2 linked regions of the Saccharomyces cerevisiae S288C genome follow. Changing the gene in region 2 together with the main gene of any one other region gives a genetic interaction. Each region holds a gene or a part of one and is shown on either strand. Other genes may lie near its edges.

Region 1 (4,136 bases), on a different chromosome or scaffold from region 2:
GGTTATTTGACTGGTATGTTGTCGCAACATCTGGGTCCCCCACCGTTGTATACCGCAATAAAGAAGTTTTATCGATCAGTGTTCAAAAAAGATCCTTGAACAGTAAAATCATATCAGCGTCAAGTAATTTAAATGGTATTGAAAGTTCCCAAAAAAATGATTTATTATACACTTCAAATTTGAGAAATTCAAATGACTATCTGTCAAAAATTTTAGTATTAAGAGGTATTAAAAGGGTGTCTTACAAAGCTGGAATTGAGATATCAAATTTCTTTTTAACGGGATTTTCCTTCTTTATCATATTCATTTGTATGATAATATTGGCGTTTATTATCTTCAAAACATTTTTGAAAGTACTTCAGAAGTTTAAAGTTAAGACAATTAGATATTTACACTTCCACACACATTGGAGTGCACTTTTACAGGGGACACTATATCGAGCGGTGTTCATAATTTATTCTGAGATATCTCTTTTAGCACTTTGGGAGTTCACTCAAACAGACTCAGCAGCTACCTTAGTGGAGGCAATCGTTGTTTTCATTTTGATTACAGTCTTGTTATCATCCGCAAGCGTAAGAATATGGAGGAAGATGATCAAGTCTAAGAAAATATTTGGCCAGCCAAGCTATTTACTCTTCAGTAGCTCGAAATTCTTAAACAAGTTCGGCTTTCTTTCCTCTCAATTTAAGTCTACAAAAGTCTGGTGGTTAATGGCGACCTCTGCACACATGCTTATTAGGTCTATACTAGTGGGTTCTCTACAAGCGCACGGAAAATCTCAATCTATTGGTATCTTTTTGAATGAAGCTATCTATCTCATCCTTTTGTGCTGGATGCAACCTTACATGGATAAAACAACCAACTTCTTCAATATTAGTATCCATTCACTGAATTTAGTGAACGCATTTTTTTTCTTATTTTTCAGTAACTTATTTCAGCAGCCCATAGCTGTGTCTTCTTTTATGGGACTAATTTTCTTTTTTCTAAATGCAGCGTTTTCTTTGTATCTCTTCATTTTCATATTGATATGCTTTACGATGGCAATATACTACAAACACCCTGATACAAGATACAAACCTATTGATGATCAAAGACGATCCTTTTTGAAGGGTGAAATGGATGATGATGCGGTTTACGAATCGGTCCCGGAACTGCACGAAATGAAGAAAGCCGTTCTTGAATGCAACGGTATTCAAAAGCCGCAGATCAATAAGATTGACCTTTGTAAACAAAATTCGAACTGTGAATATCTGTATATGTGAATAAATAAAATCGTGACTAATACGTCCGGTAGGATTTGCCTTCCTGCAAAATTTCTTCTGATTTTGGAATTTGAAAGGTTGTAAGACCATCTCGGAACTAAATATAATCTCCGGAGTATCTCCAACGAAGAAAACATAAAGCGTTGTTAGGACTTAATAGAGGTCAGATAAAGAAAATCTACTGAAACGTATAGAGCGGATGAAATATCACTTTCTGATCTTGCTGAACAAAATTTCTTCGATAAAAGATGTACTTTACAGACGAATCATCACCGGCAATGAATAGAGTAGGTAAAAAAAGGAATAGACTTTCTTTTGTTTGCCAAGCTTGTAGAAAAGCAAAGACGAAGTGTGACCAGGAAAAACCTAGATGTGGCAGATGTACTAAACAAAACCTCTTTTGTATATATGATGTCGCCAGACAGGCGGCCCCTAGGAATCCGAATAAGGATGCCACCATAGCGAGACTGAAAAAGGAGATTCGTTACTGGAGAAATAAAACCGTGGATTTGACTCAAGAAAAGAAAGACTTCTACACTGCATTGAAAAGGCCGACTGAAGAATTAGCTGCTAGAAGGACATGTAAAAGCTTGCAGGAAAATAGCTTTCCAATAAGTCTTTATAAGACTCATCCCAGATTGATTATGACCAAAGTGATGAAAAGAGAAATCAACCCTTTATCTGAGAAGTACTTAATATTTCAAGATACCTTTCTGAAGACATTAATTGCCTCCGTGCTTCTAAGTTGTTCCAGAAACTCCATGATTCCTGCTTTAAATGCAGATATTAGTAGGTCGAGGACACAGCCATGCGTAAAGAATAACGTTGTAAAAATGAGAGAGGTTCTATTGAAAAACTCAAAATACGAATCACAAAGAAAATCCATTAACGAGTTTACGGACAGGCTACTACAGAGAAAGAACCCTGAAGAACAGATTGCGGTAAATAAAGTAATTTCTTTATTATACAGTAACAGGGAATCGTCATATTTAGAGGATACATGCCCCACCGAAAACGACTATTCTGATTTGTTGAAAGGCTACATCAATGAAATCGAGAAAACGCTCCCTCCCAAGGCAATCATTGAACAGTACCTCTCTCATTTCTTTGAGCATATTTTCCACCTAATCCCTTTCGCCAGCAAGGAAATGTTGGAGGAATCAATTCACACAACAGTACAGTATAATGAATTAGGAGAGGTACGACTATCGATGGGCACAACCCTTATACGAAATAAAATGGAGAATCTGTGTATCTTACTGTTAATTTTGAGGATCGCGTATATCTCTTTGACATTTATAGAAGATAAGATTGAAGATTACAGTCCGTATATTACCAAAGAGATGCTAGAGCAATATCCGATTCAAAGCGAAGTAATTTTCCTAGCGCAGCAGATACTTGCATCGGAAAATTGGTGTGCTTGTGCAAATGAAAATACCATTTCATGCTTACTCTATATCTGGTGTGCATTTGTTTTTTCCCCAACTGAGGGTGATTTTCTGTTAGAACAACCGTCGGATGTTATAATTAACCTTGTCATACTAATAGGGACGTCTATCGGATTACATCGTGACCCATCTGACTTTCCAGCCTTGAACCACCCCGAAGCTTCAGACAAAAGGCTGCTAAATTTACGAAGGATACAGTGGCTATCAATTATCTCTATGGCAACTCTGGAGTCAAGCCTGAAGGGTAGACTATTGGTCTCACCCCTTTCAATGATTGATCTTTTCATTGACGTTCGGGATCCCAATTGTGTAGAAATCTATAAAAAAAGGGTTAAGAAGGATCTAACAGGTTCCGAATCGGATGAGCAACTGCTCGAAATCCATGAGATTTTTTTCCATAGGGCTCAATTAGCATTATTCTTGTCTGATTTGAATAATATAACCATTTCATACAGTGGTTCGGTTCCAATGGATACACTAGAAACTTTACGCGTTAAAGCCAATGAACTTTTAAAAAACAAATTTCAGCTAAGAAGTGTGGATATTAACATCTACGACGAAGAGAAGACATTTCAAAAACTAACGTTCAATTCAATTTTGAATTCTATAAGTTTATCGGGCCAGATCTTGGGTAAATTAATGATGTTAAGGGCCTCAATAGCGCTGATGTTATATTTTGAAACACTTGCAATGGAGAGAAGCGAATGCTTATCCTTCTTCTATAAGTATTTTTTTCAATGTTGTGCCGACACCATTTCCCTAATCAGATTTTTTTTCCTGTATTTCAATGGCAGTTACGAGAAAGTTCTTTCTTCTTTAGTTTGTTTCATCACTACAAAAGTTATTCAATTGGCTGTTCCTACCACGATGTTTACCCTTTTGGTCATCATCATGCGGGTAGAGCTGGCCAAAAATATGCTTCTGGTCAAATGTAACGAATGCAATGCCAGAGGTGACATTAGTGACCTCCCAGAAATAAAGGAGAAAATAAAGTCATTGGACACTATCAAGGAGAACTTCGAGAGGCTTTTGTTGGAAGTATATTTACTTGCGTCCCAAAACCTGAGATTTAAATATTTCTACATTTTCAAGATGTTGACCTTGTTTGACGTATTCATTCAAAGGCTGAGGAAAGGTCAATTATTTTCTGGTTTGTTTGTCAAAGTAGACAAAGACTTGACTACCAAAAAAATTGCCACAATGTTGGAGTTGACACTTGGAATTAACTTGGACAAGTCTGACCATTTAATTGATAGACTAAAGGGCAAAAATCTCACTGTTAACTTTACCCTTGATCAATTATACCAAATCATCAAAGAATTTGACAGAATAAAAAACATCGGTGTTGCTGACCCACAAAATTCTCTGAATCCATCAAAACCAAACATGAAAGATAATACACCCACAATTGAACTTTTACTCAACT
Region 2 (10,503 bases):
TAACCTCAAAAGATCCAAATAAGTCGCTAGTTTTCGAACCATCCATAAAGTTGCAGAATTTGAGCATATTATCGCAACAATTGAATTTGAACCCTTCAATAAAATCTCAAATTGTCAGTGATTCGCCACTGTCTATCGCCACTAAACATTTTACAAACAACAAGATAATAACTTTAACAAATGCTGTGAATTACTCTAATTTGATATCTACTAGTTTACCCCCGAACGCAACCAAGTTATGGCTAATACCCGATCCTGCAACAACCGGCGATAACAATACTCTTTTGTTCATAACTTTTCCCAAGAAAACTATGATACTACAAATTGACAACGAGTCCATGGAGGAACTAACACCGGATGAAGCAACGCGTTCAGCTTTCAAGCTCTCTCAGGACACAACAATTCATACATGCCTAATGGGCTCACACTCTATTATCCAAGTATGCACCGCAGAACTAAGACATATCGTACCGACTGGTAAATCTAGGTATTCTAATAAGCTGACTTGGGTGCCACCAGCGGGAATTCGTATTGTATGTGCCACGTCCTCGAAAACACAACTAATTATATCATTATCAAATTACGAATTGGTTTATTTCAAGATAGATGTATCTTCGGATTCGTTAATCGAATTAACCACCCACCCAGAATTGGACACAATGCCCTCTAAAGTTGCGATTGTGCAAGATACGCAGCATGCTGATTTATTAGCCATTGCTGACAATGAGGGTATGATCAAAATAATGTCTCTTAAAGACCAAAAGGAAGATTTTTTAACTGTAATAAGTTTGCAATTAGTTAGTGAAAAGATTTCTGACATGATAATGGTTAGAGATTCCTCAATAGGACAGCTTAATTTGCATGTAGGTTTAGAAAATGGCGTTTACATGAAATTTCATATAGGGGATGTTGACGGATCGTTCACTGACATAAAAAGGCGATTCCTTGGCTTGAAGCCTGTTTCCCTTTCGTATTTGCGTGAGATATCTGTATCACTAAATAATGAGGAAGAAGAAGAAGAAGAAGAAGACGATGATGATGAAAAAGAAGAAGAAGAAATAAATAGTAGTGGAGCTAAATGGATGTCATGCGTGGTTTGCCATTCCTCTTCTACATGGGTAAGCTACACGTGGAAAAATGTGTGGACCATACGGCAGTTAAAGGATCAAAACATGCTAAGTTGTTCCAAATTTGTTAACGCAGATGTTGCAATCAACGGTGTTTGTTCAATATCGAGCTCAGGACGCTTAAATATTGGCAGAGTTTCCAACTTTCCAACTTTGGATAACTGGTTTCACGTTCATGAATCAAGTGTTAACAAGCAAGAGAACGGTGGAGGAGATGAAAGCAATGAAGAGGAAGAAGATGAAATGGAAGAAGAAATGGAAATGTTACAAATATCTACATTCCGACCTCGTACTATTTTATCATTTCCCAATAATCCGAAAAGCATTTTGTTTATTGATAATCACAGTGGTAAGAAACAATGCCGTATATCACTGCAAATTGATGGTGAATGCTTAAAGTTTGGCAGTTCGGATCATTTATACAAGATACTGGACGATATCGATTGCGTTTCCGCTGCTATAATAGATTTCACAAGACAAGCTGATCATTTGATCATTTGTGCTGGCGACAAAAGGCTGTTAACATACAAGATATTAGTTAACAAAGATAAACTATCTTTTGATATTGAATTACTTCACCAAACAGAAATCATTTCACCAATACATGCTATGTTGAAGTTTAAAAACTTCTTGCTGACAGCCATGGGCTCCACTATTGTCCTTTATGGTTTGGGGAAAAAGCAATTATTAAGAAGGTCCGTAACACAGACCCCGGTATCCATAACAAAAATTGTGTCTATGCACCAGTGGAATTATGAAAGACTGGCCGTTGGTGATATACATGAATCTGTCACTTTATTTATCTGGGATCCTGCGGGGAATGTATTTATTCCGTACGTAGATGACTCTGTAAAACGCCATGTGACGGTATTGAAATTTCTAGATGAGGCAACTGTTATAGGCGCTGATAGATATGGAAATGCGTGGACTTTAAGGTCTCCACCAGAGTGCGAAAAAATCATGTCAAATCATGATCCCAGCGAATTATCTAATGGGGCCATCAAGTACCCACTAGACGTCATCACTTTACAGCAGAAATTACCCAATACTTATGATTGCAAGTTCAAGTTTCAACTACTGAACCACTTCTTTGTTAATGATATCATCACTGATTTCCATATCCTGGACAGCCTTTCAAATTCTGATAGACCTGGTTGTATCTATATGGGCTTACAAGGAACCGTGGGATGCTTTATCCCCTTATTATCCAAGGGGAATGTTTTTATGATGGGAAACATTGAGAATATAATGGCTGAGGCGGATGATACGTTTTATTTAGATTATGAATCAAGAAAGAAGAATAACAATATGCGTAAGGAAGACGATGAAGAGGAATCTGGAAGTGTTGTGTTACAAGGACGGCATGGTATAGAGGATGAAATAATATGTGAGGGTTCCTGTTCCATTTTAGGTAGAGACCACCAAGAATACAGAAGCTATTATGCCCCTGTACGTAAAGTTATTGATGGTGATTTATGTGAAAATTTCCTGAGACTTTCCTTGAATGAGCAGGAATTTTTGGCCAAAAATTTAAAGAGTGTACAAGTGGAGGATATAATTCAAACAATCAACGAAGTCAGAACAAATTACATGTAATGATTTTACAGTAATAATACCAAGTATAAAGGCGTGTTAATGTATTTTCTTAATAAATATATGTACAAGGAATATATGATAGCTTTAAATATAAGAAATATAAAATTTCACCTCATCTTTATTTCTGTTTTAAAAGGAAACCGTTTTAATTCATCGATATGCCACCTCTGTACATTTCGTCGATGATTTTACCGTTTTCCAAGTTTTCACATAACAGCTTCAAGTTGTGTGGGTAAACTTTACCAAACCATAATGAATCCAGCTTGTTTTGCATCTTTTCTCTGCCGAATAGTTTATAGAAAATGACATTACCAGCAAAAATATGACCCCCAATATGAGAAATTAAGGCTAGATTATTCTCAGGAAAAAGCTTTTCATCTTGAAATGCTGCAATTATGTCGGGTCCCATTTCTCCACACTTAGCATCTCTCTTATAATGCCCACAGACTAAGTTCCAATCTCTTAGAAAAGTTTCACCCTGAAACCTTGTAAGCTTTCTATGATGCACTTCATGAACCTGTTGGGAAGCCTTGGCCTTACCGCTTAAATAATCCTGGAAGGATAGCTTTGGTGCTTGAATAGCTCCTTCATCTAAAAAAGATGCAAATTCCTCGATGTCCGTTTCCTTAATTACATAAAGCTTCATGTCAGGAATAACAAAAAAATAAAGCCATTCATCGTGTTGTTTTGGCCTTGGAATAAATTCATTTTGCAAATGCACCGCATTTATTAGTATTCCTGGAGAACCACCTAAATGGGAGCGCAATTTACTAATGGCATTATATGGCCGATTTGTATTAGTATCCAAATTATGATTCCATGCTACCTTCCATGGTTGAGCAAACCTATCACCCGGTGATAACAGCAAAACATGCTTATTGTAATTGGGCGTTCTATGAGGAAGCTTGATATGAGGATCTAATGGATCAGTTTTTGAAGGCAGCCTTGCGTTTATTTCTTGGCAATAACAGTTTGTTTGATCATTTTGAGCACGGGTATGAAGATCAGGAACGCTAATATGTTTGAAGCTATGATGGAAGGATGCCCGCTGCTGCAAAGTTTTGACAGTTATACGTAGCATTTTATTTTTTGTGTCAGTGCACCTTCTCTCACTTTTCTACTAAGGAAATTTGATATTTCAAATGTAGTATGCTAATAAATAAGAACACCCGCATGCACGAAAAAGGGAAATTTAAAACTAGTTAGGTAAACAAAGTTCAGAACAAGAAATGATATGGTTGTTTTACATAGATATATACTCAGTATTCGTTTTTATAACGTTCGCTGCACTGGGGGCCAAGCACAGGGCAAGATGCTTTTATAAACTATAATGCGAGATATTGCTAACGTTTAATGTGGAGCCCATCATGTTACTTTTATAAACGCTCTCGATTAACCTGTGTAATATCAGAGCATCCATCAAGGTGGGAAAGCCTTCGAAATCGAAACCTTGCATTACAAATTGTGAGGGTAATTCAGGAATTTTCTTTGTATTGAAGTGGAAGTCAGAGATAGATTGATACAGTCGATGAATATTACCCACAATGGCATTATAATTTCGTAAATGATATACTTCCATGATTTCTTTACCTGCATCATACCCCGGGTCTAAAGGAGCTTGTTGTCCATTGGCTAGCGGGAAGTCGTTTGCTCTAGTTCCACTGTAGTAAAGGACCAGATTTGAAATTTCTGCGAAGCCGGCATCGCCTTCAAGTTTCAAATCTCCCTTGGTACCGTGAATGTCAATGACCAAATTTTTGGTAAATTTTTTGGTAGGTTTGCCACCTTTGAAACTGCATGACACTGGAACATTGCCATTTAACAATGTGCCTTGGAATAAAAGATGATCCGGTACTGTCTTTGGGACTCGCTGGCCCAATCGGTTACCACGCTCATCTATCAGCTCTTGCTCTGGAATATTATTGAAAACCATTGCATTTATCCTGGAAAAGTACGAACTTGTCATGTATTGTAAAATATCGATTGTGTGACCAAATGTTGTGGTTACCAGATCTACACCGTTCCCGATTTCATAGATGTATTTTGGTGATTTAACAGGCCTTTCGTAGCCGTACCAACCGCCATTTCCAGCAATCTCGATCGAATTAATGTCGCCGATATAGCCTTGAGATATTAATTCTTTTGCTCTCAAAATATATGGTGATTTACGACCTTGTAAAGAGATGATGGTTTGAACCCCACGTTCAGCAGCAGCCTTATAAATGGATTCGGCTTGATCTAGTGAACATGCAAGGGCCCATTCTACGAAAAGATACTTGAGGTTCGGATTATTTTTGGAGAATTCCAAGAGAGGCATAACAACTTCATAATGGCTGGCCACTTGGATAGCTATCACTATCATATCTATAGTGGAAGATGATGCAAATGACTCTAAAGTGGGAAAAGCAGTGGCATTACTCAATTTTAGACGCTGAATGGTGGCAATAGAAGTCTCAATTTTTGGACTGTATAAGGCAGTGATTTGAAATTGTGACGATAGTTGCAGTATGGCGGGGTAATGTGTCTTGATTGCCCATCCTTTGGCTGCGTTGAGACCGACGAATCCGACTCTTATGGGAGCTGCATTAGGCACGGTTGAGACCGAAGATCTCTTGTTGTAGTCCATGACGGGAGTGGAAAGAACGGGAAACCAACTATCGAGATTGTATACGCTGGTCGGCAAGGACCAGCAGTGATATGTGATGTATATATATTCAGGTTCAAAAAAAAAAGTTATGAGCTTTTGGTTATTATGAATGTAGCAGACATTTTGAGGTCGTTCGGGCGAGAGTGCGCCGGTAAATGAAGAAAATATAGGATATTATTAATATTAGAATTAAACTATTATATTGCAGGGGAGAGAAGAAAGGGGTATAAATATATATTACAAAGCGGAAAACTTGCGCCATTTAAACAGAGACATCGTCCGGGCGCTCGTGTGATTTTCTTATAGTGAAGAAGTTAATACCTTTAGGTTGGTTTTCCGTAGCAGCAGTGGCAGTGACCGGATTAGCATTGGAAGAAGGCCCCACTATGCTTGCACTTTGTTGCATGTCTTCAGGTCCAGTGGCAGTCAATATTGGGTCAGTTGCTTGCTCCTTCTCTCTATGGAAGGGATTCCATCTGGAGGAGGTTCTGTATCTTGAATTGTCGATGGAGTAAGTAGAGGCCAACCTTGCCCTAACAGACCAGAAGACCAGCAGGATAAATTCCACGATACATAAAAAGACACTTGCCCAAGCCATACCCATCATAGAGGCACCCAATTGGGCACTACGATGATCGTCATGGAAAGCATTCTTTGCCATGGCAGAGGCGGCCGTTTGCAAGACAACGGCTGCCGTATTGAAGACAAACCCAAAAGACATGAGGATAAGCACCATCTCTGAAAGCATCTTCGAGCACCAAGTCAAAACGTAAAGGATAAACGACACACCTACAAAGGCAAGCGCAATCCAAAAGAAACAAAATGAAAATCTAGTCAGGTAGTAAAAAGCGTCTCTTTTGGAAATAAACTGGTGAGGGACATTGATGTGTGTGTTGAAGTTATCTACTGGGGAAATGGGGTATGCAGGTGCCAAATTGCTTGTGCAGGTATCCGACCCGTCTTTATCCTGTAGACAGGCGCCCCAAAACGTCCAACGTGTTTCATCCCCAGCATTAGGTATGCCTGTTGTATTGCCCTGCACCCAATAGAATCTGTTCACGGGGTAATGGTCCGTGGCACCAGATATAATCATCAAAATTAACAGCAAGGTATTACCTGCTAAAAACAGCAACACTACCAGACGTAGTACTATATTCCAGACCTTAACCATAGTATTGTGCGGATATGCGTTACTATACTTAGTCTCTTCAATATCTACGGGAGTCAAGAGGTATTAATAAATCTTCTTGCGTGGGTGTTGCTTGTTTGTTTGCTGTTTAAGTATCGAGGAGATGTTGAAAAATGTATCGGGGGCCTCGAGGCGACACCTGCTAATGTTTACAATTTTCCCGATTGGGGTGCTAGAGGCATACAGTGGGCTACATGGCACAGCACGGCAGTGCAGAGTGAGAAAATATGACTTCACGCTCGAGGCGAGGCCACGCTTTCGAAGCTTCGAATGCCACTACCTAGACCATTGCTGTTTTGTACCTTCACGGTCCCATTAGAGACATTTTACTTAATGCAAGATTGCCATATCCGTTGTCATGGTACCAAACAGGGTAATAATTTCTAGAAATCATGATACACGTATGACATCTGGGTAACCTAATCCATCTGGGTAACCGATTTTTCTCTCCCTTTGCTTTCTCTTTACCACTCAGCTGACTTTATTATTTTTTTTATATTTTTCATTTTGACAAAATTATATAGTTAGGAAGAATACAATAGGACTGCGACAGAAACAGATAAGGGCTCTTTTTTCTTGGGGTTGGCTGCTTTTATTCATTAATTTAAGACTCAAGTGTGCTGCGTGAAATGCTCTCATACTATGAACACAATACTGCGTTCCAAACAAACAATTGCAATTCCGGTAGCAATGCCGCCACTACATACAACAGCGACGCCAATAATGATACGATCATGAATAAAAGAAAAAATGACCATTTCGAGTTTGATACACACACTTTCTACCAAAGATCGAAGAGAACAAAACGAGATTCTGTAAGTACAAAGTTTTCGGTCGGTTCCGGGTGTGCTAATCTTAATAACAACAACAACAACATCATCATCAACAACAACAACAACAACAATAATAATAATAATAACCATAATCATAATAACAGCAATAATACTGCAACCTACAATAATATTCATTATAAAAAAAATATCGAAATATGTCCCCTGAAACCGGTTAGTATGCACCACACTATGAACAGCCGCTTACTGAACGAATCTGAATTTTATTCTGAAACAGAAGAGTACATGATTCATGGTTATTTCGGTAACACTAATCGCGACATAACAGGCACGAGTCCTACTGGAAGTGCTAGTATTATACAACACCAGTATCATCTTCTACCATCCCAAAGTATAATTGCATCACAAGCACCCGGTACTGCCATGGCCGCGTTGACTAACAACAATATCGCTAACGATTACATGGATATAGATTAATAAGAAAAAAAATAACTGCAGGAAATGAAAATGAAAATGAAATGGAAAAAAAAAAAAGAAAATTTAACCTATTTAAAATAATACAATGTATTACATATTTATCACGACTGTTTACGTATCTCTACTCAATTTACTTTAAAGGCTAAGTGCTCATTCTGGCTACCTTACATCTATCTATAAAACGTTCAAAACTCAAACCTCACTAGGCCTGGAGAAAAAGGGAAAAAAAATATCTCCCGGGGGCGAGTCGAACGCCCGATCTCAAGATTTCGTAGTGGTAAATTACAGTCTTGCGCCTTAAACCAACTTGGCTACCGAGAGTGACTATTTTGATTTACTTCAAAATAAAGTGTCAGTACTACCCTTATTATATGAATGTTGTCGTAACCTCTCGGATTATATGTAGACAATGTTATGGATATATAGAATATAAGTGTTGGAATAAAAATCAACTATCATCTACTAACTAGTATTTACGTTACTAGTATATTATCATATACGGTGTTAGAAGATGACGCAAATGATGAGAAATAGTCATCTAAATTAGTGGAAGCTGAAACGCAAGGATTGATAATGTAATAGGATCAATGAATATTAACATATAAAATGATGATAATAATATTTATAGAATTGTGTAGAATTGCAGATTCCCTTTTATGGATTCCTAAATCCTCGAGGAGAACTTCTAGTACATTCTACATACCTAATATTATTGCCTTATTAAAAATGGAATCCCAACGATTATCTCAAAATTCACCCATTCTTCAATAAGAATTTACGAAATAAATCCGGTAACCATAAATCCACAGAGCCTCTTATATTCACTCTGTTCCTCCATCGCCTATTGAGAAACGTTGGAATAAAACTCTAAAAATATCATCTAGTTAGTTAGTTTTTATTTTACCAGTACATTGTCACTTGCGGAGGGAGGATGACATAAAGATTGAGACGCAGTCATTTAATGAAGTTTAAACGCGGGTACTTGATAAAGTAATACGATATTGAATCATGACGTATAAAGTGAAATGAACGAATGATTACGTAAAAATGTCGATTTTCTCTTGAGAGACTCCCATAGCCTCTAAGAGGCCTTCTACTACGTTCCATATATCTAAGAATGGGGCCATATCCAGTGGAATCCCAGCAATTATTTGAGAATCACCATTTCTCAGCCGATATTTTAGCAGAATTACTACCAATATCAGGGGGCAATAGTTGATCGCCTACTTTAACAAAAAATGTTGCTCACGTATTAACACAGGCAACAAAAAGGATATTACGCAAGAACGTAGTATCCACATGCCATCCTCCTTGTTGCATCTTTTTTTTCCGAAATGATTCCCTTTCCTGCACAACACGAGATCTTTCACGCATACATCGGAAGGATCACCCCCCACTCAAGTCGTTGCATTGCTAACATGTGGCATTCTGCCCATTTTTTTCACGAAAATTCTCTCTCTATAATGAAGACCCTTGTGCCCTGGACTCTGTAATACTTGAAACTACTTCCTCAATAATCGCTTGGAGACCTACCCCCACGCTTTTCAAACAAGGCGCTAGCAAAAAGCCTGCCGATATCTCCTTGCCCCCTCCTCCTGTTCGAGAGAACTACGACCCGACCAATAATAATGTCATACAAGAACCGCCAAGAACCAACTGCTGAACCTTAGATCTCCAATACTTTCAGTTGGAGTATGTGAATATATAAGTACCTGGTCGACTAATCTTCTTGCATCTTTTCGTATTCTTACATCCTATGTCGCTAATACAGTTCCCGCATAGAGAAGAAAGCAAACAAAAGTAGTCAATGCTAAAATACAAACCTTTACTAAAAATCTCGAAGAACTGTGAGGCTGCTATCCTCAGAGCGTCTAAGACTAGATTGAACACAATCCGCGCGTACGGTTCTACCGTTCCAAAATCCAAGTCGTTCGAACAAGACTCAAGAAAACGCACACAGTCATGGACTGCCTTGAGAGTCGGTGCAATTCTAGCCGCTACTAGTTCCGTGGCGTATCTAAACTGGCATAATGGCCAAATAGACAACGAGCCGAAACTGGATATGAATAAACAAAAGATTTCGCCCGCTGAAGTTGCCAAGCATAACAAGCCCGATGATTGTTGGGTTGTGATCAATGGTTACGTATACGACTTAACGCGATTCCTACCAAATCATCCAGGTGGGCAGGATGTTATCAAGTTTAACGCCGGGAAAGATGTCACTGCTATTTTTGAACCACTACATGCTCCTAATGTCATCGATAAGTATATAGCTCCCGAGAAAAAATTGGGTCCCCTTCAAGGATCCATGCCTCCTGAACTTGTCTGTCCTCCTTATGCTCCTGGTGAAACTAAGGAAGATATCGCTAGAAAAGAACAACTAAAATCGCTGCTACCTCCTCTAGATAATATTATTAACCTTTACGACTTTGAATACTTGGCCTCTCAAACTTTGACTAAACAAGCGTGGGCCTACTATTCCTCCGGTGCTAACGACGAAGTTACTCACAGAGAAAACCATAATGCTTATCATAGGATTTTTTTCAAACCAAAGATCCTTGTAGATGTACGCAAAGTAGACATTTCAACTGACATGTTGGGTTCTCATGTGGATGTTCCCTTCTACGTGTCTGCTACAGCTTTGTGTAAACTGGGAAACCCCTTAGAAGGTGAAAA

What was found.
Region 1: mutations in YML054C-A (region 2) and PIP2 together harm fitness more than expected from each alone (negative genetic interaction), as found in Saccharomyces cerevisiae (one large-scale study listed by BioGRID).

The regions. Positions count from the first base shown.
Region 1 is NC_001147.6:1,020,587-1,024,722, reverse strand, and holds the start of PIP2 (oleate-activated transcription factor PIP2), read left to right. Parts: upstream 1-1,510; coding exon 1,511-4,136. Other genes in the region: YOR365C (putative flavin adenine dinucleotide transporter), read left to right, coding at 1-1,262. UniProt on the Saccharomyces cerevisiae protein: The PIP2-OAF1 heterodimer acts as a transcriptional activator to induce the transcription of genes encoding proteins involved in fatty acid beta-oxidation, a response called oleic acid induction, when cells grow on fatty acids as sole carbon source.
Region 2 is NC_001145.3:166,440-176,942, reverse strand, and holds YML054C-A (uncharacterized protein), read left to right. Parts: upstream 1-9,161; coding exon 9,162-9,320; downstream 9,321-10,503. Other genes in the region: U2 snRNP complex subunit RSE1, read left to right, coding at 1-2,723; AIM32 (Aim32p), read right to left, coding at 2,869-3,804; transcription regulator GAL80, read right to left, coding at 4,042-5,349; SUR7 (Sur7p), read right to left, coding at 5,633-6,541; YML053C (uncharacterized protein), read left to right, coding at 7,189-7,827; CYB2 (L-lactate dehydrogenase (cytochrome)), read left to right, coding at 9,635-10,503.